Rattus norvegicus: one gene and its partners. The protein of the gene in region 1 interacts with the protein of each later gene in a pairwise test. Links are inferred from orthologs where the notes say so. Each region holds a gene or a part of one and is shown on either strand. Other genes may lie near its edges. The genes, in order: Lnx1, Rpia, Rad51d, Osgin1, Nadk, Nudt14 and Mageb18.

Region 1 (3,955 bases):
GATGCAATGATTCAAGGTCACTGACAGGTTCAACATATTCTACTTGGGGGCTGGAGAGATGGTTCAGTGGTTAAGAGCACTGACTGCTCTTCCAGAGGTCCTGAGTTCAAATCCCAGCAACCATATGGTAGCTCACAACCATCTGTAATGAGATCTGAAGCCCTTTTCTGCTGTGGGCTAATATATAATAAATAGATCAATCTTTAAAAAAATCTCTACTTAAATGTGTGGATCTTATCCAAAGGACCCACGAGCCTTCCCCCTCCACAGAATGGTACAGGTTGCAAATTATCTGTCACCTCTCACACTGGCTTGGCCAAGTGCTCATGGAGTCTGAGGTGGAAGATGTTTACCTACAAGATTAGAGGGGACCAAGTACCCAAGGCCACTCAGGGTAGTAGCATGATTAAAACAGTCTGGGCTCCCTGCCCTCCAAACAACGATGACCTCTCCTGACAGCCTTTAAGAACTCACACTTTGTGGATGTGTCAAGAGATCACAAGAAGGAAGAGAGACCACTCCAGAGTTTGCTTCACCAAGGGCCAAGGGGGCTGGCAGGCACACGCTGCCTGGCTCAGGGAATGACAGCCCGTTCATTCTCCTCCCTCTGGACTGTTGTGTTTCTCCAAACTGTTAGCAGTGGGGTTAATTACTGACAATTAATTACAGTAATAAGAGCCGGGTCCTGAACCATTGCAGCCACAGGAGAGCTACATGGGCTCACACAAGTCCTCTAAGCTCCCAGGAAATTTCTTCCAGCAGAGAGGAACTTGTCTTTTATTTGTCCCTGACTCCAAGCTCACCTATACTCAGAGAACCACATTATAGCACATGGTACTTATCTCTCGTCCTACTGAGAAAGGAATGGCGGTTCAGAGAAGTCCAGTAATTTGCTAAGGAAATACATATTGTTTCCTTTAGCACTTTGTATACACCCAAATTAGTGGAGATGTCACAGCAACTTCTCAAGGACACATGCACGTTATCCAACGAGCTGCCTCGACCCCTATGCTAGACACTGGGACTCTGGTTTCTGTCCCCTTTTTTCTCTTTCTTGAATTGGGGGGGGGATTTTATATATATACATATATAATATATATTATATATAATATTTTTCTAAGCAGTTAGAGACAATGACAAAATAGTTTGTTATTTAATCATAGGTCCATTGTTGTAAAAATGACTAATTAACCAGGTATAAAAGAGGGGTGTGTGTGAAAGTTTGCAGAGGTTTGGAACATCAAGGACAAATTTACACCTACAAAACTCCAGGCTATGAGGAATCTTTTTCTCACTTTGCTCACAAACCTCTGAATCAACCGAGAATGTTACTAAGGCATCAACAACAGTTACTCTGCAAACACAGGAGCTTAGAGGACAATATAAGGCACAAAGGTCAACTAGAGAAGAGACTATGAGCTTCCCAAGAATCAGAAAGAAACTGGCAACAAGCAGGAGGCAGATGCTTACCAGGAAGAAAGAAGCAGCCGTTCAAGGGCGATACTTTTTAGTTGTTTCCGTTCATACACTCTTGGACAGTTGGCAGGTTCTTTTAACTTCTAGAGGGCTGTATATGGGCTTAACTCCTAGTAGATGATTTCCTTACAAAGCCATCTGCTAACTTAACTAATGCAACTAACGAAGGCCTATGAAATGAAAAGACTCGTTCATTTATTTCTCTCCCCGAGTTTCCCAGATAAGTTGATAAGGAGATGGACTGGGGATTTATTCCTCTGCTCTTGTTAATCATATTAGCTGGTGGGGGTGCCTGCCCATTGAGAACAGGTTACACGATCAGGATTAGAAAAACGAATATGGGTCCTTGAGGTACAATTACTTTTATAGTCAGGTCCTGGCAGAACAGTCTCCTCCATATATTTACTATATTAAGAGCAAGGTAGAAACAACAGAAGAGTTTCAAACCCAGACCTGGGGCTACATTCTTGTGGCCTTGAAGGGTAATCTTTACTTTAACCAAAGGTCAGCAGGCAGCCTGTCGGGCCTGAAAGTAGGTAAACAGAGTTCTAATCCAGACTGCTAAATGTTTTCCACAAGTAAAGGAAACTGAAGGCTTTTGAGAGAGAGAGAGAGAGAGAGAGAGAGAGAGAGAGAGAGAGAGAGAGAACTTATAAACAGGGAGCCAGAATTTATCAGCTTTAGTACTGACTTTCTGTTGTAAACAACAACAAAACCTAGGGAAGTATTACAGCTTTTCAGATGAGATGAATGCAGAAGGCAAGAAAAAAAAAAGACAATCTGAATTTTGTGAGTGTCCCCAGCACCCCCACCCCCACCACACACACACACACACACACACAAAACAGGCTGGACTGGTCTGCACATTTGAACTAACTTTCAAAGAGCATCTCATCTCACTTTTCTCTGGGGTTTTAAAAAGAATCAAATCAACTTCACAACAAGCAGAGGCTGGATTAGTAATCAGGAAACAAAAATGATTAAATATCTGGCCGAGACAACACTGCTGGTCACAAATAAGACTGTTACAGACATCTTTACTCTCAGAGTGTTACTCTGGACTGAGCCATTCAGTGAGCTCGCTCTCTCTCTCTCTCTCTCTCTCTCTCTCTCTTTCTTTTTCTTTTTTCTTTTGTAATTTTCATTCAGATTCCTCATTTAGATCCCTTCTGGGTCAGGGGTCTAAAAACCAAGAGAGGAAAAAATAGTTCCTGCTCACCTGTTCAAAGATGTCTGGGGCTTTCAAAGCAGCAGTCACCAGCCCGCCTCCATCCCTGTGCCAGAAGCTTCTAGGGCTGCCTGAGCTGTGACTGGTCTCAACTTCGGTGTACAGGTGGCTGGAGGAAGAAGGAGGGCATTGGTTGGCTCAGAACAGGAAATCTGTGACATCACGGAAGTCTGGCTGAGACTTTAGGGACTAAAACAGCCCAGGAGGCCCCGCCCCCTGTCAATTACCTGAATACCTTGGAGCAGGTAGGTGGCGTCTCTCAGAGGACAAATGAATCAGTTAGAGCAATTTGCTGGTCGGAATTTACTTTCCTTCCTGAGCAGAGCACGTGTCTAGCCCCGTGTACAGATCTGAATGGGTATGCCTGACTGTTTCCCAGGCCCTTTTCGTCTGCCTGATATTCTTTCCGAGGGCTCTCACAGGCCCACACAGCTGCCAACACCAGAATTAAAAGGGAAGTTTAAACACAGGGATTTTTGTAGGTGCAAAAAAAGAAAAAGGTTGAGAAGACTTAGCTATATCTGGGATTTACCCCCCTAATGCCTTTCTGAATCGCATCCCTTTGAGTTCCTAGTGTTTTTTTTTTTCTGTTCCAATATTATAACAAAACTGGAGGTGACATGACAAGCCTTAAAAATCTAAGTTCGATGCCTGTCAGCATCATTTCCCAAACTCCCTCGCAGTCCCCAGTGTATTATATTAATAATAGATTTGGCCATTGGTAAAACTTCAGTCATTCCTACCTCTCGGTCTGTCTGTCACCTGGTGGTTACAGTCCACAGTAGGCCTGCAATTAGGGGTACTTTAAATGATTCAGGTTAGAATGATAGCGCCTTACTAAGGCGCTGTTGTCTGCTGTGAGAGCTAGGGAAGAGGAGTCAGAGTTATTTTGGTCCCAAGCTTGGTGTGTGACCCTGGATAAGTCACGCTTGCTTCAGCTTTTCCAGCAGGAAAGAGAGGCTAATGGCAGGACTCAGCTGGCACTTGAGTGACAGCTAAGAGGATTCCTGCCTGCTGGTTAAGGCCTATGGCATCTTGTCCCATCAGCCTGTTGAATTGCTGTGCGCCTGTGGCCCGCAGCCAGCCTCCCTCGCAGACTTATTCACTCTCCGGAATGTGCTACCTGAGGACACTGGGGAGTTCTCTCTCCTAGGTTGGTCCAGCCACACTTTTGTCCCTTAAGGAAGAAAACACCTGCTGAAAAACACCTTCCCCCTTCTGATCTCAAAACTGTAAGCTTTACCTGTTCTA
Region 2 (4,099 bases), on another chromosome or scaffold:
GAGTGCCCTAGCGAAAGCCAAAAGGTGAGATGCGGCCTGCAAACTGGCCCAACAGCTGGTAGCCCTTCTAAAGGCAATGCTATACAGCATGCCATCAAGACATCAGGGTAATCTCACGAATCTATGAGACTGGCTTCGGTGGGCTAAGCCTCTTGGTGTATTTGGTGAGTTTGGAATAGTATGTTAGTAAAACAGGCTTCTACCAAATTAAAAACACAAAAATTGCCAGGCATGATGATACACTCCTTTAATCCCAGCACTAGAAAGGCAGAGGCAGGCAGATCTCTTTAAGTTTGAGGCCAGCCTGTTCTACATAGTGAATTCCAGGGCAGTCAGGAATACCTAGTAAGACTCTGTCTCAAAAAAACCAAAATACTAATAATAATATTAATATTATCTGCCCACTAGTTTCCTCAGGCTAAGCCAATCTCAAATCGAAGCCCAGGCACCACAGAGAGCAAAGATGAAGCAACAACCATGAGGATAGCATAGCCGTGTACAGTAACCCATCTGAGGTAACTACACTTAGTATCAGGCAGGTCTGGACCTGGTGACAAAGATTCAACTGAGAATTCAGAGTTCATCTTCACTGAAACAGAAATAGTCACAATGGAATGAATACCAGCAGGCTAGGGAACTGGAAACCCCACACTCAAGAGAGCCTAGGAAAGGGGCCACCAAAACCCACAACCTCCAACCTCCATTCATATCAGTGTTCCCATTCTACACATCTCACTGAACGCTGCCTAAGCAGCTCTCACTGTACACAATGCTGAATGTATAGATAACGTTAACTCTCCTCCCAGAGCTCACAGCGAGTTGGGCGAGAGAAACACAGAGAGGACTAGAACATAGGTCACGCTGAAGTGTCTGGGAGCCGTAATCAGAGGAAGCTGAGTGTATCACACACCTATAATGCCAGTCCCTGGGAGGCAGAGTCAAGAGGATAAAGCTGAATGATGATACACACCTTGGTAGATTTCAAAACCAGCAGAGTCCACATATCAAGTTCCTGCCTTGATATATGCTAGCCTGCTACAAAGAGGGAGGGGAGGGTTTCAAAGCCAGCCTGAGTTTCAAAAGAGGAAGAGGAATTGTCCTCTCCTAGTCTCCTTAGGAAGCCAAGAAAAAACTGAAAGTAGTCCTTTGAATATGGCCAGAACATCCGGTAAAGGCTTGCAGATTTCACTTTAATCGAGTACATAACAATAAAGCAAAGGTCAAGGAGACTTGCACCACTAAACATTAACGGTTTACCTAAGATAACGAGCTTTCCTAAGGTATGGATTTCATTTACCAATCTATTAAGTCACTTCGTGAAGGCATTTTGAAATTCCTCTTTACTAAGTAGTTCCAGTTTTACAGCTGTGGCACTGAATTCCAAACACAGAGCAGTATTACACATTTTACATTCACGCTCATACCCCACAACCCTCCTAAATGTGGAGTATCAAATCTTATGCTAAGATGAGCAAAGAGCTATACAGAACAGAAGAACAGAAGAGCAGAAGAACCCTGCCTGAAACAAAAATGGTGTTCTTCTGTTCAGCAGGCAAGCCGGAGGTTATCAGACCCGGTCCCGCCCACTCAGGCCACCCTCACTCTTGGCCGGGAGATAGATAAAGCTCTAAGAACATCATCTTTGCAAAGTAACTTTGTACAGCACTGCGTTAACAAATGAAAAGAATTCCCTTTAACAGAGATACGGATTCTGGTAACGTGATCTAAGAAATAGGAGTTAACAAATGAAAATAATTCCCTTTAACGGAGATATGGATTCCAGTAACCCGATCTAAGAAATAGGAAACATGACGGAGAAACTTCACCACAGGGCAACAGAAGAAGTACAATTAAGATAATTAACCTGCTACCAGACAGCAAACCCACCTACACTAAGAGTCCACTCAAGGTACCACACCCGCCACTTAACAAACAAATGGGGACTCAACCATACTAAGTAACTGCAAAACATCTGGACCCCGCCTAAAGAGCAGCACCTCCAGATGTGTCCATCTGGCCCTGTCAACAGTAACCTGATGGCTTCTTTGTAAAGACTACACAAGCTCCTCAGCAGGAGGAGCTGAAAAGCATGTTTGGAGTAAAATTTCAAAACACTTCGCAAAACAGCTCTCCACTGGCTTCCCGGTAAGCGAGAAGTGAAGAACAGCAGCCTCGGGGCTCACCATTTTCAATGGGCTTGATTAGGAGGCACGCATTAACAGCCTGACCAAGACTCTAAACGGAGTACTGCCCGGCTCTATTGTGCATCCAGTTCCAGCCGGACAGGAAATCTTTGTAGAAAAGGCTCTAGTTGGGGGAGAGTTGACACCCACCCATTCTCTGTCTAAAAGGCCTTTCAGGGGTTGGAAAGAACAGCGTGGATTCGGGTACAAGGCTCACCCTCTCCCTTCTCTCGCAACCCTCGCCCTTTCAGGAGTCAGGCGCACCCTGGCAGTGCCCTAGGCTGGCAGCACGAAGCCATCACGCCGCCACCAGTTGCCCCACCTTCACGTGGTTCTCCACTGCCGTGTGGCTCGCCAGTTTCTTAGCCTCCTCGGCCTTGGACATCGTGGAGGGGGCCGGGCCGCCCGCGCTCGAGCCTCCCTTGTCGCCGCGGGTCTCCGACTGTGTACGCCCCGGCAACTGCACGTGGGAGCCCGAGAGGCCCCAGTTGTTCCCGCCCCCACCCGAGGCCGCGCCCCCGGCCCGCCCGGGCAGTGGGGCCAGGACCCGCCCGTAGAGGGTGCTGAAGGGCCCGGGGCGCTGCATCCCGCCGCCTCGCTCCAGCCTCTGCGGCCGCCCCACCCCCAACTCCTCCGGAAACCCGCTCGCTTGCGCAACCTGCCCGGCGCGTATTGCTATATGTGTGTTGCTGGGAAATGTAGTCCTGCAGCGACAGTGGTCCCAAGCCCTTCTGCAATCGGGACTACAAGTCCCATAATGCCATCGACCTAGTGTGCAAATCGCCCGCCTTGACTTCAGCATTTCTGTCCGGAAGGTCCGGCTAACTGCTGTCTAGGAAGCTACCTAGGGGTCAAGTGTTTACAGAACCTTTCTGGCTGTATGCATGTTCTAAAAAAAGAAGAGAAAGAGAGACCTATTAAAAACCTGACCTTGTTTGCCCAACAAAGGAAGACGTTACTGTGTTGTAGGCGAGTCCTCAGGCAAGTGGGTCTACCAACGGCTTCTTTATAAATCTTTTAATTACATTTTACTATTTAAGTTGTGTTTGTATGCATGAGTGTGTTCTTGTGTAGGCCAGAGAACAACTTGCAGAAGTCCGTTATCATATCATCTTGGTGGTGACCATCTCAGCCTACTTACAGTGCTGTGATATACACACTTGGTACTCCCAGGTCTTCTGAAGTCTATGTTAGACCTTTACAAACCCAAGATTACAAGTTCAGTCATTAGCTCCTGCCTTGGGCATTGTTCTGCTCTTAGAATTAGAGGCCAAGGTGTCTGAATGGAGCCTGGGTGAGCGAACACAGCCAGTGTGTTGGGCTTCCTTCTCTACCTTTAGTTTGCTTGTATGTAAGGGGTGAGGAATTCTTATCACCACCCTTTACAAGCAGAAGAAACTAGTGCTGACCAAGCCTGAACACTTGGAAATTCTTGGTCTCATCCCGCAGCCTCACTGGCCTGGAACTTGGACTGTTTTTCCTGAGCTGGATTACACCATTGAAAAGGGCTGGAAGTTCTTGTTGTTTTGTTTGTAACTCTGGCTGTCCTGGAACTCTAGACCAGGATGGCCTTGAGCTCACACAGATCAGCCTGCGTTCCTCAGTGCAGGGGTTAACAGCACATGCCTACAAAAGGCACATGACTGCAAACCCCCAAGAGCTGGGCTCTTCCAAGAACTCCTAGGAACAATAACAGACAGGTCTCAGTGCATTTTTGCAACTTAAGCATTCAGGAACCACTTTATAGATTCCTTTGCCAAAAAAGGAGAAGAAAGTTCTTCAGCCACCATTACAAATGTAACTTCAGTAGCCACCAAAATCAGGTGTGCCACTATTGTTCAGACACTTTTTGAAACTCTTGAGGAACCCACATCCATACATGGGTAGTATCTTAGAGTTATTATTGCTGTGATGAA
Region 3 (4,253 bases), on another chromosome or scaffold:
ATAGGTCTAATGCGTGCTAATCGCAAGTTTCACTAACTTGGCCTACAGCCTCCAAAGCTTCAGAGTTACATCTACTAGGTAGGCACAACACACTGGAGCAAAGTCTAAAATCTAGCAAACCACCTTTAAAAAAAAAAAGATTTATTTACATATGTATGTGAACACAGTGTCATTCTCTTCAGACATACCAGAAGAGGGTATTGGATCTCATTACAGATGGTTGTGAGCCACCATCATGCGTTTGCTGGGAATTGAACTCAGGAAATTCTGGCAAAGCAGTCAGTGCTCTTAACCACTGAACCAACTCTCCATCCCAGCAAACCACCACCTTTGACTCTTCAAATCTACACCCGATCTCACAGTAAGTCTCTTCTCACGTCTCTCCTTCAACATATCTTCCACGGTTACAAACCCTGGATCAGACTTACACACCCCAAACCAGCAGCACCAGATCCCTGCTTGGCCTCTCCTGTGTCCTGCACAGCCATGCCCCATAGCTTACAAATGCTTTCACAGTGGCCTCTCACCTCCAAGTAGACCTCAGAACAGTCCGCTGGAATTAAGGTAAGACACTGAGCCCCACTCCTACAAAGAGCATCTGCATGTGTCTGGCACCCAGTAGGCACTCAGCCAACGCTTGATGGATTACAAACACAGACCCCCAACCAATGAAAGCAAGCACCAGACTGTGCGGACCTTGCCAAGAGAATGTGTTATGGAAACAAGGGCCAGACCAATCCGAAGACCTTTGTGATGGCAGTGTTATTCATCAAACTCTGCACAAACAGGCAGGGAGAGAGGTCAGACACGCTTGGCCAGAAAATGCCAGTTGTCTTCCAACTCTTTCCCAACCGGAACAACAGGGCACAATGTAACTGCTCATTTCAGAGAGCCATACCCATTCCCCACTGCTGCCTCATATGGCAAAGGCAACAAGGTTCTGGATTAGATAACCCTGGGCTCACCTCTCCTGGCCCCTTTCTTAGGCTAACCACAAGGGAGGTCAATCATTTCTAACATCCATAACCTAGGGTGGCAGTTTCTCAACCAGTGGGTCACAATCCCTTTGAGGATTGTTCAACCCTTTCACAGGGGTGGCAGATCTTGCTTATTAGATATTTACACTATGATTTACAACAGTAGCAAAAATTACAGTTAGGAAGTAGCAAGGCAATAATTTTATGGTTGGGGGTCATCACAACATGAGGAACTGGATTACAGGGTCACAGCATTAGGAAGGTTGAAAACCACTGGCCTAGGGTCAGCGCAAAAGTGCTAACTCCCAGGAACTCAATTCTGCCCAGGTCTCACTTGCTTTATTCTGGGCTCTTTATCACGGGCTCTACTGAATAATGGGATATTAATGACATCTTTTGTTATAGGACAGTGGCTTTTCCCTGGGGAAAGTTAGCTTGTAGGAGATACTGAGTCACATCTGGAGACAGTTTTTGATTGTTGTAACTGGGGGCATCTTGCCATCTGGTGCCTAGAGAGTAGGGATGCTGCTAAATGTCTCTCAATGCACAGGACGCTCTATCTCAGCAAATAATTAGTTGCCCCTCAAGTATCAATAGTGTTGAGGCTAAGAAACTCTATAGTTGGGCTGGAGAGATGGCTCAGAGGTTAAGAGCACTGTCTGCTTTTCCAGAGGTCCTGAGTTCAATTCCCAGCAACCACATGGTGGCTCACTACCATCTATAGAGTGATCTGATGCCCTCTTCTGGTGTGTCTGAAGACAGCAACAGTGTACTCACATACACGAAATAAATAAAATCTTAAAAAAAAAAAAAAAAAAAAAAGAATAGAAGCCCTATAGTTTTACTCTTAAGGAAAAAAACCTCAGGAGTCTGCATGCCTGCAGATTCCTCTACAGCTCCAGGTGGCCCTCACTGGCCCCGTCCTCTGTAGCCTCAGCACGAGGCTCTGCTTTCACCTTGTCCAGGTTCGCATACAAACCTTCCGATGCCGGTGGACAGGATGGCAGTGGAAGTCTTCAGTTCCTCATAGAGATCTGCACCATTTAAGGGGAAAGCCGAGAACTGCGCCAGCAACACTCTCCTCAGGGCAACCAGGGCCTGCCAATAGGGCGGACACTCAGGTTCCAGATCGATCAGACTGCCCCTAAGAGCAGCTGCTCCGCAGAGCACTTCAGGTCTAGAGTCACACACACCCCCCTTTAACAATTCCTAGGAACTCCGATCCTGCAGAGTGGGGAGCAGCTCTGGAAGACCGGTTGGAGTGGAGTTTGCCAATCGCGAGCTCACCTTGTAGGACAGACCACACTTCTGGGCTACCTCCTCCAAGTCAGCAGCTGCCAGGTCTGCCACTGGAAAGAGAGCAGCAAGTGCAACTGATTCGCAACCGGAATGGCTTAGCCTTGCCTTGCTTGCCTTTTCCTCAGTTATGAAATGGGATTAAGGTCTTATTCTACTTCCAATCTGCACGCAGGCCCTAATGCAGGACCCGGCAAGGGGCCCAGCACTCAGTAAAATCCTCTACCTCGGCTCCCGCGAAGCAGCTTCCCCAGTAACCCTCCGGTTAGAGCAAAAAGCCCCATACGTGTATCGAGACCCCCGGGGTTGTGCCCATGAGGTCACCTGTTTTGATCTTTCGGCCCCTCAGAAGCTGGACGATCTCCTCGGTGAGGCCCGGGCACAGCCCTGCCCTGAGCATGCCCATATTCCCTGCAAACCCAGGACGCCCTGGGGGCTGTCTGTCACGTGGGCGCCCGCCGAGTCCCCCACTCTAGGCATTCCTCAGTTCCACTTAAGGAAAAGGTCCTCCCGTGCTAGCGAGGGACGAGGGGGCGGGAAAAGGATGCAGGTCGTGGTGAGGGACAGGAACCCTTTCCAACTCCTCGGACTCCGGCGCCCTGGGCCCGCCCCCTCCCGGCCGAGGCTTCCGGGTTCCGCGTCTGGAGCGTCTTTTGTGGGCCAGGCCTGCAGCGCCATCTGCTGACCACGAGGGCAAACGCGGCAGCCCCATGCAAGCTGCAGAGCTGCGCTGGTCACTCACTGCTAACACACATGCTAACACACACACACACACACACACACACACACACACACACACACGCACACGCATAGACACAGACACAGATACACACACACATACACACCCTTCCAATGAGTGTCTCTTGTGTAACAGCCTCTATTTGCAAAGTTAGGGGACACTCTCACTCTACTAATTCAATACTTATTGAGGGAAGCAACCCTGACTTCTAGTGGCATTCATGTTAGGGAGTCAATGAAAAGGAACCAATTCAGATTACAGATTGTATGATCGAGATGAGATCCAGCGAGCACCTGTACCTCTGTATTTTCCAAATTTATTGTTTTATCTTATGTATGTAGATGTTGTGCCTGAGTGATGTCTATACACTCCTTGCAACCCTGGTGCCCAAGGCAGCCAGAAGAGGGGGTCAGATTCCCCTGGACTGGAATTACAGACGGTTGTAAGCCACCATATGGGTGCTGGTCTTCTGGAAGAGCAGTCTGTGCTCTTAACCACTTAACCATTTCTCTAGCCCCATATTTCCCAAAGGTTTTAATGGGAGTAGGGGAATGCTTGAGTATATAAAATATATTAAATATAGTTTACTATTTTGAATTTTTTTTTACCACATCTAGTGGAAGAAATAAAGTTTTGCGAACCCACGAGTGAGGTTCTATTTCTGTCTGTACTTTGTATTTTGCGGCTCAGTAAGATTGTTATTGTATGAGTTACACAGCTAGGAAGCACAGAACTGAATCTCCAGTCCACATCCAGCTGCAAAGCCTGTGTTATTCAACTTTCTCCATCCTCGGAAGTTGTGGGTGTGCTTTCTAAAACCTGTACTCTTCTAGCAGAGATGTATGGCTCATTTTTAGAAATATCCCCCCATGTTCACCATTGTTTCTCAATCTTTCAAGGTGTTTGGAACCCTAGCTCCCCAAACCAGCTACTCTGAGCTTTTACCGTGCCTGTTCCTGGCTGCAGTGTAGGGTCTGCTGCTTAGATGCCAGGATAAAGACCCTTAGAAACATCAACAGGCAAAGGCTTCCTTTTCAAAGTCTGTGTTGGCTCAGGCCAAGTGGTGCTGGCTTTTTTCACTAGTCTGCTACCCCTTCCTGGACAGCTCTAAGGGGGCACAGGCCTTGAGCCTTTTGAAGTCTTCAGAAGATGACCAAGTAGCTGTGGCCACAGATGTGGCCTAGAGGAGGCCATTTGTGCTGGAAGGGGCCATCAAGTCTGTTTCTTGGCTGAACCCAACC
Region 4 (2,882 bases), on another chromosome or scaffold:
TTAACCTTTTATAAAAGCTGTAACAGAAACCTGTCTTCAGAAGCTACATTTAATATAATGTCACACTTGGGGGGTGGGGCAAGTGGCTGGCAGTGGATCACTGGGGTGGGGTATTTGCTGAGCCAGGGACACGGCCCCTTTAGGAATATTACGAAGCCCTGTAAAGGGCAGATTATGTAATTTCACCAGAAAACACTTCTCAAAAGTGCTATGAGGGAAGTGCATTTTCCTGTCACGACACAATCCTGAAACCCCCTCCTCATCTGCAGGGACAGAGTCCGTCAGAGCCAGAACCCAGAGAGGCCAGTTTTATCTGCCTGTTTATAGGGGATTCTCCTCTGCCCGTCCAGCCTCCCAGGGTCCCCTTACCTGCATTTCTTCCGCATCCAGTCCTTGACCTGCAGGTCTGGGAGACTCATCCACTGGCCTTGGCTCAAAGTCACCATGGAGCCTTCAATGGACTGCAGAGAAAGTTGTTGTCAGGCCCGGCCAGGACAGCAGCACCCCGCCCCTCCCCAAGTGTGAGGGAGGGAGAACAAGGCTACTCCAAGCCGACACTCACATGCCAGGCACCCCCGGGGAGGTTCCGTCCCAGGACAAGGTGGGGAATGGCACGGTCCTTCTGCCGCTTCCAGGAGAGCACAGAGTCTAGGCTGCCTCCAAAGTCTGTGTCAGGACGTAGGAGGGCATCAAAGAGCAGGGCCACAGGACTCTGGCTTCGGCCTTCGAGGCCTTCGGAAAGGTATTCTAGGTCCTGAAGAAGGGCACAGGTCAGTGGGATCCCCAGGGGATAGCATAGTCCCACCTTGAGTCTGAGGGAAACTGGTCACACAGAGATCTCTATGCTGAGTAGTTTTGGGGACTGTCACTATGGTTCTTCTGGGAGCCCAAGGGCCCCAGTGAATGTTCTTGGAGGAAGTCAGTCATTGAGAACCATGGGTCTAATGTGTGGTCAGACAGCTGACATGGCATTGGCGGGTCTTGGAAGACAATCCCAGTTGTTCTTTCCCTGTTTTACAGTTTGTTTTGTGGACTCCTCTGTTTTAAGGGTGGTCTTCCAGGGACCCCTGGCTTTCTGCTAGGAGAATGGCCCTCCTAGACTCAAGTGTCAGACCCACCTGATCCAAGATGGAGACCCCTGGAGCCTCGGTCAGCTTCCTCTGCAGCAGGGGGTGCGGGTGGACAGCTCCTGGTTTCACATAGGGGATGTAGCCAGAGAGCAGGTAGGATAGACAGATACCCGAGGGACCATTGCCTGCAGAGACAGGAAGGTCAGGTCTACTCAGCATGAAACATTCACCAAGCCCTGACTCTGTGACAGAGGCCATGTGTAGTAACGACCAAGAAGCAGACAAATGAACAATGGTCAAAGGTTTCCTGCGTGAAGGGTTTCTAAGTATAACCACCTCAGTGACATCAGTCAAGGAACGGGTACTGGCATTTTCTCTTTGTGCTTAGGGGAATGGGCCGGAGAGGATAAGCAGGTGTCCCATGTCTACTTGGCTGTCACACTCAGGGAGACAGGGCCTGTAGCCATGCAAGCCTGAAACTTGGGAGGCTGAGGCAGGAGGAGCTGAAGCTCAAGGCCAACTTGTACAGCATAGTGAGCCCAAGAGGAAAAGCAAAAGGTGGGTGGGTGTGTAGCTCAGGGGCAGAGTGCTTGCCTAAGCCAGGAGGGCTGTGACAAGGACTTGGAGGTGAGAGTCCATCAGCAGGATGGACTGCTTCAAGTCCTGGGTGTCTGAGTTGACCAAAGCTCCTCCTAGCCAGGATTGGAGCGTTCTGTGCCCGTCTGTCCAGCTCTCCCCAGCTTTCACTTTTAAAATGCCCGCTCGTGTGGGTCTACCTGATGCTTGCACCCTCTTCTTCAATTTGGCAGGGCTGATGACAGGAACCACGGGCCCTATCTTTGTGTTCCCTGAATGGGCACCTGGCACGGGTGGACACTGGGTAATGGTGCAAACCTTATGTGCATAGTGCTGGGCCCACAGCACTATGGCAACCGTCTAGAGGCCAGCCTTGACCTCGCTAGCCTCAGACCCAGGGGTCCCCAGAGCACCAGTGTATCCCCCACCCTTGCCGGGGGTTGGGGGAGACACTTACCAATGATAACTACTGGGAGGGGATCGGAGCTGCTGGCCCTGAGGGAGTCATGCCTCCAGGAGCTCATAGCTGGGGTTGGTGTTCAGCCTGGGGTTGGCAGCTGACCTGGAGAACAGAGCAAAGAGGAAGCCCCTTTAGTCAGGCTGGGTGATGTCACTCACACAGATTCTCAGCTCAGCTACTCGGTGGAGCTCCAGCTGTCTGCGAACCAGGAGCCACCGACTCTACTGAGCCTCATGCCATCCCCCCAATCCCCCCAACACCCCCTCTTCATCTTAGGAGAGGACTCCCTGCCTGGTACAGGAGGGATGGGCAAGGCAAGACTTCTTTGGTAGCTGCAGGGCCACTTCCCCACTTCCTCACTGGTGACACTGGCTGGTTCCCAGACCCGAGCCTCAGTAAGCCATACAAGTAGGAGAAGGTTCTGGAACACCTGCTAGGGTGGATTTACTGCCAGGATGGCCCTGCCTGACCTCCGGCTCAGGGCAGGGCTGGACCTTGGACTTGGGGAGACTCTGACAGCTGGATTTGGGAAAAATGCCAGCAAACCTGGGTTTTGGAGTTCCTGCGCCCCCTAATGGCCACAATGCCTAATTGCTCTAAGCACCGGAGCTGCGTTCTCAGGCTCACCTAGTGGTACAGCACACTGGTCTGAGGTCACATCTGCAGAACTCTTACGGAGGAGGCAGAATTCTGGGGGTTGTATGTGAACTCTCTAGTTTGGAAAAGTGGGTAGCCAGTGATGAACCTTTATGCAAATACCTCACAGGCCAACAAAA
Region 5 (3,500 bases), on another chromosome or scaffold:
AACCTGCCCTATTGCTAAAAATTGGACTAAAAAGAATTCCCATGTCCTTAGAGTCCGTGGCTCTCAGCCTTCCTAACGCTGTGACCCTTTTCTACAGCTCCTCATGCTGTGCTGACCCCCAACCTTAACATTATTTTCGTTGCTACTTCATAACTGTAATTTTGCTGTTGTTACGAATCGAAGGTAAAGTATAAAGTATGAGGTGTGTGTGTTTCCGATGGTCCCGGGTGATCTCTGTGAAGATGCTGCCTTTGAGTAAGAACACTAAGGACCTTGTTTGTGGTTTCTGGTGTGAAGCTGCATGAGGAGGAAGCAGGGTACTTACACTGAAAGCAGCTCCTCACACTGGACTCAAAACTACCTTAACACCCCCAAGCATAGCCTTACCTGGAAAAGTGAGGAGGCATAGAGCAAGGTACCATCTCCTCCAAGGCATATGATGAAGTCTATCTGGTTGGAAATGTCATCATAATCTACAAGACAAACACAGAACTGTTGTCGCACAAACCCTTAGTGCCCAAGTGTGCAGATACCAACAGGGCAGAATCCTAATGGCTTCTGCCAGCTGAGAGGGCTCAAGTCAGCACACCTTCACGGAAAGTGCAGAACTTCTTCTTCACTGGTCCAAAGTTTTCATCACCCACTATAGCAGGGTCTTCCAGAACTTTCTTTTCCACATACACGATCATGTTGTTTTCCTGGAAGCAAAGAATGCATGGGAACCCCTGCATTGCCCATGAGGCCCTCACCAGTGCAGTCCAGGTCATGCTGGCTTTCCCACTTTGGGACCAGGTGGAAAGATGTTTTCTTGGCTAGCAAGTCATTCCCATGCTGCTCAGCCCCTCACAGTACAGTCAGGAACTCTGCGGCTCAGGGTGTCATAGAGACCTCTTCCAAAACAGGTGCTTTCTAACCCCAGTGGCTCTTGGTTTTGAGGGAGTTCCCAAAGTCATCTACTGAAGTGCAACATGATTTTGAGGTGCCACTTTAGTCTTCAATGTCCAGAGGTGGCACCTCTGGGGGGTGATTAGGAGTTAAGCCATCAGGGTAGAGCCACACCACTGCACTCTTGTGGTTTTATGGGGAGAAGGAAAGGCCTGAAGGTATCTGCACACATATTTAAGAACAAAGGCTGTCCTGTGCCTGGGGGCTCTGCAGGGAAGATGGCTGTCATCAGTTTTGGCACCTGGACCTTGCATCTTCAGAATCACAGGCTAAAATAACCCTCTCTTTCTTAAAACTTACCCAGACAGGGGAGATGTGTTATTGGCAACATCAAAAGGATCACGGTGAGGGTTTAGTGCTGCAACAGGACTCAGAAAGTAGTGTGTTGGAGGGTCTGAGGTCAGGAGGGCAAGTTCTTTGTGAACACGTGACACAGTATAGGGCTCTTGCCAGATGCAGCTCCTCCACCAGGGTTTCCCAGCCCCTAGCACTCCAGGCTAGCACTCCAGGCTGGCACTCCAGGCTGGCACTACAGGCTAGCACTACAGGCTAGCACTACAGGCTGGCAAGTACTTTTTAGAATGCTTCCGACAGCTAAGTAAAAGGCCTGTCAAGTCCTGGGTTCTGCCACCCTGGCCATGTCTCTTCCCAGTGCCAGAACAGGATGCATCAACCCTAGAGCCTAGTAGACCCTATCCTGCTTGCCTTACCTCCATGAGGTATATGCAGAGCTCCTTGAAGGGCTGCAGTAAGCTGGCATCTCGGATCTTTTTGATAACAAGCACACTCTTTGGAGACTTGTTCCATGTCAACCGTTGGCTTGCAGGGTCCTGGATGTGCCTTTGGGGAGAGAAGAGAGCTCATACCAGCAGTTGTCTTTTCCTTGAGGAATATGGAAAAATAAAAAGAGCCAAAAACCAGAAACAAGTAAAAATGCATTGCCAACTGTATGCATAGAATCAGCAATGGTTCCCACCAGGGATGGCTGCCAGCCAGTCTGCAGCCACTTACTGGGAACACCAGGGTTCCAGAGCATCTGTCCTTAGCTACTAGTAGACCCTGAAGACCCACCCTGCCCAGCCACTGTCCACATGGCTTTGGCCACATCCCCTTGGGCACCCTGCTTGGCAACCTTCAACAGGTCAGATCATGTGTGTTATGGTGGGAACAAAGATGGCAACAGAGGGAAGCCCAGGCTCCGTCAGCCCACAGAGGGCATCTGTTCTTCACAGAACCTACAACAGTTGGTTTGAGGACTCTGTCCTGGGGTCTACTGTGGACTATTTCCAGTCCCAGAACCCTTCAAAACATGTGTTTCCTTTGATGTACCTGGAGGGTGTATGGCTTCTCTCTGCCACTGTATAAACTTAGCTGAGCCTTACTTATTAATTAAAAATCAACATAAGTATTAAGATTAATAATAATTATTAATTTTTTTCGAGAGGTTCTCATTATGTGGCCTTGACTGGCTTAGAATTCATTATATAGACCAGGCTAGTCTCAAATTCATAGAGATTTGCCTGCCTTTGCCTCCTGAGTGCTGGGATGAAAGATGTGACCTGGTACCATGCCTAGCCCAGTAAATCTTCATTTCTGAAGAACCTTTTTTCCTGTCCAACACAATCTCCCCAATTATACAATGTGTTCTAACAGTCTGTGAGAACCCATAACCAACCTTCAAAATTATGACACTATTAAAAGTAGAGGTCACGAGTGATCAAAGCACTCACCTGTTCCTGGCATTTCTGGGAGGGGAGAGGCCGCTCATAGCTGCCTCTCTGAACCTCACCACCTGCCTGTAGTGCTCACGACTCCTGAGGCGCTCGCTCTCCACCTTCTAGGAGATAGCAGGCATATCCCCAGCATTGCGGTGTTCCCTCTCTAGCAGACACACACAGCCCTGCCTGGCCACCATGCTCCTAGCTATGTATTACACTGAGTTTAGTTTTTGTATCCTCAAAACTGAAAGCAAGATGTAAAAGACTTGTCAAGGTCCTATAGCAGTGTTCTCTAAACTATGAAAATCAAATAAACAAAAACAGAGACTCCCTTCTGACTACATGGCCCTTTTGCCTCATCATCTGGTTTAAAAATGAAAAACACAAGGTTAACTCTTAAGAGGAAAGAGGGCCAGTCTCAACTCCCTGTTCTTAAGGCAGGGCCAGGCCCCTAGCCTAGCAGGCCCCTGGCAGGGCAGTGTCCAGGCCCAGGAAAGAGAACTGGGTGCATGGAAAAGGCAGGCCCGCCCACAAGAGGCGGCCTCAGGCCACCTGCAGGTGAAAGGGCTGCAGGTGAAAGGAGATCACTCCCTGAACTTGCCAGGCTCTGGGTTCCAGAGAATGTGGGTGGATCACAGACCTCTGCCCCACCAGAGCTCCAAGCCCACACCCTGTACCCAGCAGCCTATCCTGCCCATGTGTGGGTTATGGCTCAGGCCCAGCCCATGACTCTTTCAGCCCCAAAGCTCAGTAGGGCTCAGCATGTGTCACCAGCATTTTATATGCAGGTCAAGCCCTCCCTGTGGCCACAAACCAGCTCACCTTCCTGTTGTGTCA
Region 6 (4,121 bases), on another chromosome or scaffold:
AGTGTGTGTGTGTGAGTGTGTGTGTGGTGTGTGTGTGAATGTGTGTGTGAATGTGTGTGTGAATGTGTGTGTGGTGTGTGAGTGTGAATGTGGAGTGTGCGTGTGTGAATGTGTGTGTGTGTGAATGTGGGGTGTGTGAGAGTGTGTGTGTGTGAGTGTGGTGTGTGAATGTGTGTGTGGTGTGTGAGTGTGTGTATGTGTGTGTGAATGTGGAGTGTGGGTGTGTGAATGTGTGTGTGTGAATGTGGGGTGTGTGTGTGTGGTGTGTGTGAGTGTGTGTGTGTGAGTGTGTTTGAGTGTGGTGTGTGTGTGAATGTGTGTGTGGTGTGTGAGTGTGAATGTGGAGTGTGCGTGTGTGAATGTGTGTGTGTGTGAATGTGGGGTGTGTGAGAGTGTGTGTGTGTGAGTGTGGTGTGTGTGTGAATGTGTGTGTGGTGTGTGAGTGTGTGTATGTGTGTGTGAATGTGGAGTGTGGGTGTGTGAACATGTGTGTGTGTGTGAATGTGGGGGTGTGTGTGGTGTGTGAGTGTGTGTGTGGTGTGTGAGTGTGTGTGTTGTGTGAGTATGTGTGTAGTGTGTGTGTGTGTGAGAGAGAGAGAATGTCTGTGGTGTGTGTGTGTGTGGTGTGTGTGGGGGTGTGGTGTGTGTGTGTGGTGTGTATGGAGGGGGACGTGTGGGGGGTTGTGTGGTGTGTGTCTGTGTGTGGTGTAGTCTTTAAGAATGGCTCTGTGAACCATGTGTCTGTCCCATATAGGGAAGTCATCTCCCGTGGAATTTGGAGTGGCCTGGAACTTTAGATGCATCTGGATTGACACTGTGATGGAGCAGGTATGGGGCCCTGACTAGCTGCTGTAAATGTGTGTAGTGCGCTAAGGAGCAACATGGCCTCTGTGAAGAACAGTCAGAGACAGGAAGTCGCACTTTCTCTCAGACAGGGTCAGGTCAGCTCTATATGGGCTGGGGCTTTCCTGGAGTCTCCCTTCACCAGCCTTTTCTCTTAAGATTTGTTCTGAGAGAAGTCTTCTTCCTATTCGCCCCTTCTGTATGCTCCAGTGGTCACCCTGACTCCCCAGACTTGGGAAGGGAGTGGGGTTGTTACTAACCCGGGCCAAGCAGACACCTGCTCAGTTCACCTACCACGGTGATCCCCTCTGATTCCTACCCGTTGGAGGCTTCATGTACCTCGAAGCCCTCCTCCACCCTACCCAGTTCGTGTCCACTTTATGTAGGGCACTTATCTGAAAGCACCTCCCTCGCGTGCAGCACTCTGCAGGTGCTACCTGGACTCTGTGGCCCGCCTTCCGGCCCGCCCCGCGCGTGAACTGGGCATGCCCAGAAGTGCGTAGACACGCCCGCCTGCTTGGATCCGCGGAAGACACTGCTCCGCGCCACCATGGAGCGCATCGAGGGGGTGGCCGTGGGTCTCTGTGCCCATTCGCCCTACCTGCGGCCTCTCACGCTGCACTACCGCCAGGTGATCCGCCCCGCTCGCATGTCTCCGCGTGCTCACCCCCAAACCCCTGCGTTGCAGGCCCGGCCCCGCCCCCGAGCTCAAGCCTCCGCCCTGAGCGGATTCTCAGAGCTTGAGCTCCGCCCTCCTGCAGTCCTGACCGCGGGTCAGTCCACCCGGAATGGCCTGGGAAGGGCATGCGAGGAGAATCTCTCTTTCCTCCAAGATTTGACTGGCCCTCCATTTCTGACCGCCTGTCGATACTTTCATGCAGTTAGACCCCTTGATCTTTGGGTATCGGGGCAGGAAGAACTCTTGGGAAACCCCACATTTGCAGAAACCCTCCTTTGCGCCTTCTTTCAAGCTCCTCCTTCAAGCCTTAACAGAAAGTATGCTGTCTGGAAGAAGCCTCCTCAGCCTTTCGTAGTTCCCAGGTGTCTCCCAGAACAACAGGGCCATACATAACTATCTCACATGGCACCGTGGGGGTACATAGTAGGTACACAGAAAACATTTGTTGAACCTACTTGCTGCCTCTTCTCTTTCCCCTTACCGTGTGGTCTTCTCTCTCCCCTACCCTGCGTAGCCCTGCCTAGCAGGCCTCTGGCACATTACCTATTTCCACTCTCTATGTGGTCTGATACACACTGTTTTCCTGACCTCATCAACGTAACCCTGCCTGGGTTTCAGCTTAGATCAAACCACCCAGGGCTTGGCATTTGTCCAGCTCTCCATCCCTCGACAGTGTTGTGGCCCCCAGCCTGAAAATCCCCTTGGCTCTGGTGTGTTTGCTGTATGGAGGTCTTTCCCCCCTACCCCTAGGTGCAGCAGAGGTAGTATAGGCTTGAGGGAGCAGTTGGATTCATTGAGGAACAAAGGGTAGAGACGAGACACGGAGGTCAGGATCCTTTTCCCTTTCACTGGCTGGTGACATGGGTGGCCACTGGGACTCTTACATACCCAGCACCTGGAGTTCTGATGGGCAGTGGATGGCCCAGGCTAGTTCACTCTCCCCCCACTTCCTGGGAAGTGCTGTGGGGTGGCTTTGCAGACTTGGCTGGCAGTCCGCCAGCACACTTAGACTGATGGCATTGGTAACCAGAGCCCCGTTGAGCAGGCAGTGGCCCCGCCATAGTCATAGCTGAATGGGCCAGGCAGCATTTCCTTGGGAGCTGAGGGACACCGGGCTGGGCTGTGTTTGCCATGGGTAGGGGGATCTGCAGCCTTTAACTGACCAAGAGCAGCAATGGCCTGCCCTATACAACATGGGTCCACTGCCACATTCTAGAACTGTCTTTCCCTTCCAAGGCCAATTTCAGCTTCTGTGGCCCTTCCCACAGTTCTGACAAAGTGTTTGACCCTGAGTCAAGAGGGTCCTTGGAAGTCACCTAGGGTGACACCTGAAGGGAAGCCGTGGGGGCAGGCAAGACAGGCAGGCTCACTGCAGCCTGGGCAGGTAGCTTTCTTTGGAGCCTGCCTGGGTGGCTGGAGATCGGGCAGGCCTGGGCTCGCCTCTTGAGGTGGTGCTTCAGCGGCCTCCTGGGCAGCCTGACCTACCCGGGACATTGGCTCTTGTCTCCCCCTGGAAACCAGACTGATGCTGCCCTCTCAGGATCTCTCTCCCTGCTGGCTCAAGTCTACCTCTCTGATTTGAGATCTCTACCTGTGAGACTCTCTCGTCTACCTTTCTCCACCTGTAGACCAACACGAGGAAGCCCTGTGGCTGTCTTCAATCTCTGTTTGTCTGTCCTCTCAAATTGTTGCCTGGCAACACACTGTCTCTGGGACCCAGGCCTCTGTCTTTTTATGCAGATTGGATGGAGCCCCGGCATCTGTGGTGGGCTAGGCAGGGCTCATGAATGACCCAGAGGTGGACTAAGCAAGTCCGCCCCACCAGCAGAGATCCTTCAGGAAGGAATGCTGGCTCCAGTCCTAGGAGACAAACTGTCTTTCCAAGTGGCATTTTGATGCTGGGGATTGTGGGGATGGTGGGATCTTTCTAACCTTGTATACAAAGCACCGTTGACGCCCTTTCTGGGTGCCCCCCTTATCTATTTCTTTTTTTTTTTCCCGTTTTTTTTTTTTTTTTCTGAAGCTGAGAACCGAACCCAGGGCCTTGCGCTTGCTAGGCAAGTGCTCTACCACTGAGCTAAATCCCCAACCCCCTTATCTATTTCTTGAGTGCTACCCTACATGCAGGGACAGCAGGACTATGGGATGTGTAAGAGATAACGCGAGCCTGAAAGAGGGCGGGGCAAGTATTTACCATCCATCTGACATGCGCAGATCCGCCGCTGCAGCGTAAGCTGTCCGGTGGCGCACGGGAGCTTCGGCAATGAGTGCGTGACTTCTGCTCTGCCCACCTGGAATCCTCCCTGCCCTGCCTAAGGGTATCTCATCTGCTTTTCCTGTGTCCTCCGAGCTCCTCCCCACACTTGGTGGCGGCACAGGCCTCTGTCCTTTGTCCTCATGAAATGCCTTTCCTGCCCTTTGCCAAAGTTTTCTGCCTTACCTTTCCCAGAACATCAGGCTATCCTGACCTCCCGGGCAATCTCCTCCACCTGCTCCAAGTCCCCATTCCTGAAGGGTGCAGGCAGGCAGTAGGCCTCCCTGCTGGGAGCTGCTACAATGGGTCTGTCTGACCCCTGTGCATCTCCATCTGTTGGTGGCA
Region 7 (4,210 bases), on another chromosome or scaffold:
ATATGTGCATCCACATGTATACAATTACGCAAACACCATACACATATACATAAAATGCCTTATATGTGCACATACTTCAATTTATGAAGATCTTATTTGGACTGTCATTTCTGTATCTTGGTAGTTACTTATAGTATTATTTTCTCAGTGTTTGTTGACCAGCATGTAGGAATAAAATTCAGGGACGTACAAAGGAACTATGGTGGAGAAAACACAAATTAGTTATTTAGAAGTATAGTGATTGAGTATATAAATAAAAAGAAACTTTCAAGTATCAAAATGGCATAATAGAACTTAGATATTTTTGTATACAGAAGATTATTGTATATGTGAACAGAGATAATTTCATTTTTGTTAATGATTTGCTGCACTATTTTCTTTGATACCTGCCTCTTGGATGGGGCTAGGATTCCCAATGCTACATTGAATAGCAGTGGCAGAAGCAGAGAACCTTATATTTTTCCTGATCTTAAAAGGAAATCCTTCAGTTTTCCCATGTTAAGTGTGATGCTAGTGATGTGCCTCTTATATGTCGCTTTTATCATGTAGATATATAACTTCTTTCTTTTTTGTTTATTCTATTACTGCAACACGATGTCGTACCTTTTTGACACGATGTCAATTTTTGTTATCATTTAGACGATTGAATAATTTTTATTTTCCATTTGGCTGATGTGATGGGTAGCACTAATTATCATGTGGGTAACGGTAGGTATATTCCAGGCATACCATTATAGCCATGGTATGTAATCTTCTTTACATACTGTCCAGTTCAGTTTGTTAGTACTATGCTGAGGATTTTTGCATGAATATTTATCAGGGATATCTACTGTGGTTGTCTCACTGTCAATGTAATGGAGGTATTCTCTAGTGGTTTTGTCCTGTAGGATTTTCTTCCTTTTAAGTCATATTTAAGCCTCTAGTTCTTTTGGGGTTGATTGTTTTCATATACTGTGTGAGATGATGATCTGTCATTGTTCTGCACAAGGATGCTTAGCTCATCTGCCACCATACTAGATAGAGTCCTTCCTCCATTGTATGTTCCTGGGATCCTTGTCAAAATCTTGTCTGCAGTATGGAGTTTTTTTTTCTGGATTGTCTATTCTCATAGCCGGCATTCTATTCACCATAAGTGACAATGACTAGGTTAGCTGATTAGATGTTTATAGCAAATATTGATCCCAGTCTTTTGCTGCCAGGAAGTTCAAGTACAGATTTACTTGAAATGGTTAAAGCCAATCACTCACAGATGATTAAAAATTTAAAGTGGGTATGTGCTCAAAGATGGTTTTGAAAATGGCAGGTAGTGGGAAATGGCCTTAAAGAAATTAAATGCTTTTAATATTGAATTTAGAATTTATTAAATTTCCCATTTTTAGTAATAGGATTTTTAATTTAATTTTTCTAGGTAATAGAATGCTGACAGTTTTGTTAATGAAATCTTTATGGATAAAAGTAAGAGGGGAATGGAAATATCTGCTAATATAAAGAAGACAATTGAACCCTGGAGAAATAAAATATCCAATGCTTATTCCTCTGAGAATAAAGGTGGGGTTTTTGGTCTGCTTAAAGAATATTTTATGGATTTATAAACAAAATGAAACTGTCTTGATAATTCATTATTGATAAATCCTTGTCCTCTTTGGCACTCTACTTTTCTTGAATATCTTTATTTTATACAACATTGGCACTCAGCTATTAGCCTAGATTTCTGGATGTTTGTCTTCTCTGGCCTTTATCCCTATCAAGTCTTATGACTTGTGTGTTCTAGGATTTTCTTTGTGTGGTCTCTCCAACTGAATAGAAAAGGGAAGGATTTCTAACCTCCATAATTTCTAACGTGATCACTTTTTCTTAATTGCTAGATCATACTTGTCTCCATCACCATCCAATTAATCTTCCCTGTGTCATCAGTCATCTTTCTCTGATGTAACTGTCCTAACGTCTCTTGTTTGCAAACCTTCCTAACGAAGCTTATGAATGGAGCTACGTGGTAGACTGTTATGTAGCAATTGAAACCTTCCCTCCTGAAAGAGGGAGGGAGGCTCATAAGACACAGGAAATAAACAAACTTACAACTTTCAAAAGGCCCCGGAACTTATAAGATTCATAAGGCCCCTTTCCAAGGTTATCTAAACAGTAACACTTGCTGGACAGAGGAGACTCTCTCACCCCCACCGGCTCAGCTGCCTGTGCGCCATGCAAGGAGCTCCAGAGATGCAGCTTTGGTGAGTCGTCGTCACCAATGCTCTAGTGGATTTTTTGATGATCATCTGGCTTTGCGACATCCATGCTGTACGGGTAAGTAACCCCCTCACTCATACTCCTATAAGTAATATCCCGACAACTGATCAACTGCTAAATTACGCTTGGATACAACTGTTTCTTTGCTGTTATTCGCCCTATCTGAGGCGAATAGACTTTTGTTCAGGGAAAGTCCCACAACACAGATTAAAATTCTTTGACCCTTGAGTCATTGAGCAATGGGGTTCTGTGTTCTCTTATGTTGCATATGGGTGAACTTTGTGAGAGTTTTCCTGAAAAAGTCAATACGAGTAATGTGAAGCTGTTTGTTTCTTGGCTTATGAGTTGAGAGACTGGCTGTTTATAATTATTGTTTCTTGGACCACTTTCTCTTTGGATACTCCCTCTTGTCACACAGTTATACAAATTGCAGGCCACTTGGAAAAGTCATGTGTATGTGTTCCAGTTGAAAGCTCCAGATGTGCTCTCAGCGTCAATTCATAGCTATGGGATTTAGCAATCTTGAAACCTCTGGGCCAATAGTTGCAGTTGATGGAGATTTGGTATGAACTATATTCTCAGCCAATATTTGACTGTAACATCCCAGTGCATGAAAGTTCAGAAAAGAACCAGCAGTGAGCCCAGTCCAATAATAATAATAATAATAATAATAATAATAATAATAATAATAATAATAATAAAAAGCAGGACATATAAAAAATGAACTAGAAGCTAGGTGTGGTGGCAGTCACCTTAAATCATAGCACTCGGTAGGCAGAGGCAGAGGCAGAGGCAGAGGCAGTTGGATCTCTGTGAGTTTGAGGCCAGCCTTGGCTACAAAATCCAGGAGTCCAGGATAATCAGGGCTTTGTAACACAGAGAAACCCTGTTTCAAAACACAAACCAATAAAAACAAAACAAAACAAAAACCCAAACAGCAAAAAGGACAAATAACACTAAACTACAATTTAACAGTGTAGTTTTAAGCTGAATTGATTTTCAGTAATAGATAACTGAAAGAATTTGGCTTAACATGTGCTCTTTGTTCTCTGTTGACCTGCTTTTAACTATTATTTTACAATTATCCTAACAGGCACTATTTTTTTTCAATTAACTTGAGTATTTCTTATATACATTTCGAGTGTTATTCCCTTTCCCGGTTTCCGGGCAAACATCCTCTCCCCCCTCCCCTTGTTTATGGATGTTCCCCTCCCCATCCTCCCCCCATTGCCGCCCTCCCCCGAACAATCTAGTTCACTGGGGGTTCAGTCTTAGCAGGACCCAGGGCTTCCCCTTCCACTGGTGCTATTACTAGGATATTCATTGCTACCTATGAGGTCAGAGTTCAGAGTCCAGGGTCAGTCCATGTATAGTCTTTAGGTAGTGGCTTAGTCCCTGGAAGCTCTGGTTGCTTGGCATTGTTGTACATATGGGGTCTCGAGCCCCTTCAAGCTCTTCCAGTTCTTTCTCTGATTCCTTCAACGGGGGTCCTATTCTCAATTCAGTGGTTTGCTGCTGGCATATGCCTCTGTGTTTGCTGTATTCTGGCTGTGTCTCTCGGGAGAGATCTACATGCGGTTCCTGTCAGCCTGCACTTCTTTGCTTCATCCATCTTGTCTAATTGGGTGGTTGTATATGTATGGGCCACATGTAGGGCAGGCTCTGAATGGGTGTTCCTTCAGTCTCTGTTTTAATTTTTGCCTCTCTCTTCCCTGCCAAGGGTATTCTTGTTCCCCTTTTAAAGAAGGAGTGAAGCATTCACATTTTGATCATCTGTCTTGAGTTTCATTTGTTCTAGGCATCTAGGGTAATTCAAGCATTTGGGCTAATAGCCACTTATCAATGAGTGCATACCATGTATGTCTTTCTGTGATTGGGTTAGCTCACTCAGGATGATATTTTCCAGTTCCAACCATTTGCCTACGAATTTCATAAAGTCATTGTTTTTGATAGCTGAGTAATATTC

Evidence for each region.
Region 2: the proteins of Lnx1 (region 1) and Rpia interact in binary tests that used the Homo sapiens proteins (3 or more experiments, as listed by UniProt). The link is inferred for Rattus norvegicus from reciprocal best matches to the Homo sapiens genes LNX1 and RPIA.
Region 3: the proteins of Lnx1 (region 1) and Rad51d interact in binary tests that used the Homo sapiens proteins (3 or more experiments, as listed by UniProt). The two-hybrid records come from large-scale screens. The link is inferred for Rattus norvegicus from reciprocal best matches to the Homo sapiens genes LNX1 and RAD51D.
Region 4: the proteins of Lnx1 (region 1) and Osgin1 interact in binary tests that used the Homo sapiens proteins (3 or more experiments, as listed by UniProt). The two-hybrid records come from large-scale screens. The link is inferred for Rattus norvegicus from reciprocal best matches to the Homo sapiens genes LNX1 and OSGIN1.
Region 5: the proteins of Lnx1 (region 1) and Nadk interact in binary tests that used the Homo sapiens proteins (3 or more experiments, as listed by UniProt). The link is inferred for Rattus norvegicus from reciprocal best matches to the Homo sapiens genes LNX1 and NADK.
Region 6: the proteins of Lnx1 (region 1) and Nudt14 interact in binary tests that used the Homo sapiens proteins (3 or more experiments, as listed by UniProt). The two-hybrid records come from large-scale screens. The link is inferred for Rattus norvegicus from reciprocal best matches to the Homo sapiens genes LNX1 and NUDT14.
Region 7: the proteins of Lnx1 (region 1) and Mageb18 interact in binary tests that used the Homo sapiens proteins (3 or more experiments, as listed by UniProt). The link is inferred for Rattus norvegicus from reciprocal best matches to the Homo sapiens genes LNX1 and MAGEB18.

The regions. Positions count from the first base shown.
Region 1 is NC_086032.1:33,867,416-33,871,370, reverse strand, and holds the start of Lnx1 (E3 ubiquitin-protein ligase LNX), read right to left. Parts: upstream 2,801-3,955; 5' UTR 2,696-2,800; intron 1-2,695.
Region 2 is NC_086022.1:104,304,919-104,309,017, forward strand, and holds the start of Rpia (ribose-5-phosphate isomerase), read right to left. Parts: upstream 2,801-4,099; 5' UTR 2,770-2,800; coding exon 2,506-2,769; intron 1-2,505. UniProt on the Homo sapiens protein: Catalyzes the reversible conversion of ribose-5-phosphate to ribulose 5-phosphate and participates in the first step of the non-oxidative branch of the pentose phosphate pathway.
Region 3 is NC_086028.1:68,319,103-68,323,355, forward strand, and holds the start of Rad51d (DNA repair protein RAD51 homolog 4), read right to left. Parts: upstream 2,801-4,253; 5' UTR 2,680-2,800; coding exon 2,598-2,679; intron 2,327-2,597; coding exon 2,265-2,326; intron 2,076-2,264; coding exon 1,957-2,075; intron 1-1,956. UniProt on the Homo sapiens protein: Involved in the homologous recombination repair (HRR) pathway of double-stranded DNA breaks arising during DNA replication or induced by DNA-damaging agents. Bind to single-stranded DNA (ssDNA) and has DNA-dependent ATPase activity.
Region 4 is NC_086037.1:64,403,901-64,406,782, reverse strand, and holds part of Osgin1 (oxidative stress-induced growth inhibitor 1), read right to left. Parts: intron 2,209-2,882; 5' UTR 2,171-2,208; coding exon 2,104-2,170; intron 1,256-2,103; coding exon 1,119-1,255; intron 755-1,118; coding exon 563-754; intron 462-562; coding exon 370-461; intron 1-369. UniProt on the Homo sapiens protein: Monooxygenase catalytic activity. Involved in regulation of cytokinesis; promotes RHOA activity, probably acting locally at the midbody in late cytokinesis.
Region 5 is NC_086023.1:171,449,877-171,453,376, reverse strand, and holds part of Nadk (NAD kinase), read right to left. Parts: intron 1,786-3,500; coding exon 1,656-1,785; intron 699-1,655; coding exon 590-698; intron 474-589; coding exon 388-473; intron 1-387.
Region 6 is NC_086024.1:137,835,571-137,839,691, reverse strand, and holds the start of Nudt14 (uridine diphosphate glucose pyrophosphatase NUDT14), read left to right. Parts: upstream 1-1,321; 5' UTR 1,322-1,393; coding exon 1,394-1,474; intron 1,475-4,121. UniProt on the Homo sapiens protein: Hydrolyzes UDP-glucose to glucose 1-phosphate and UMP and ADP-ribose to ribose 5-phosphate and AMP. The physiological substrate is probably UDP-glucose. Poor activity on other substrates such as ADP-glucose, CDP-glucose, GDP-glucose and GDP-mannose.
Region 7 is NC_086039.1:61,453,355-61,457,564, reverse strand, and holds the start of Mageb18 (melanoma-associated antigen B18), read left to right. Parts: upstream 1-1,410; 5' UTR 1,411-2,301; intron 2,302-4,210. UniProt on the Homo sapiens protein: May enhance ubiquitin ligase activity of RING-type zinc finger-containing E3 ubiquitin-protein ligases. Proposed to act through recruitment and/or stabilization of the Ubl-conjugating enzyme (E2) at the E3:substrate complex.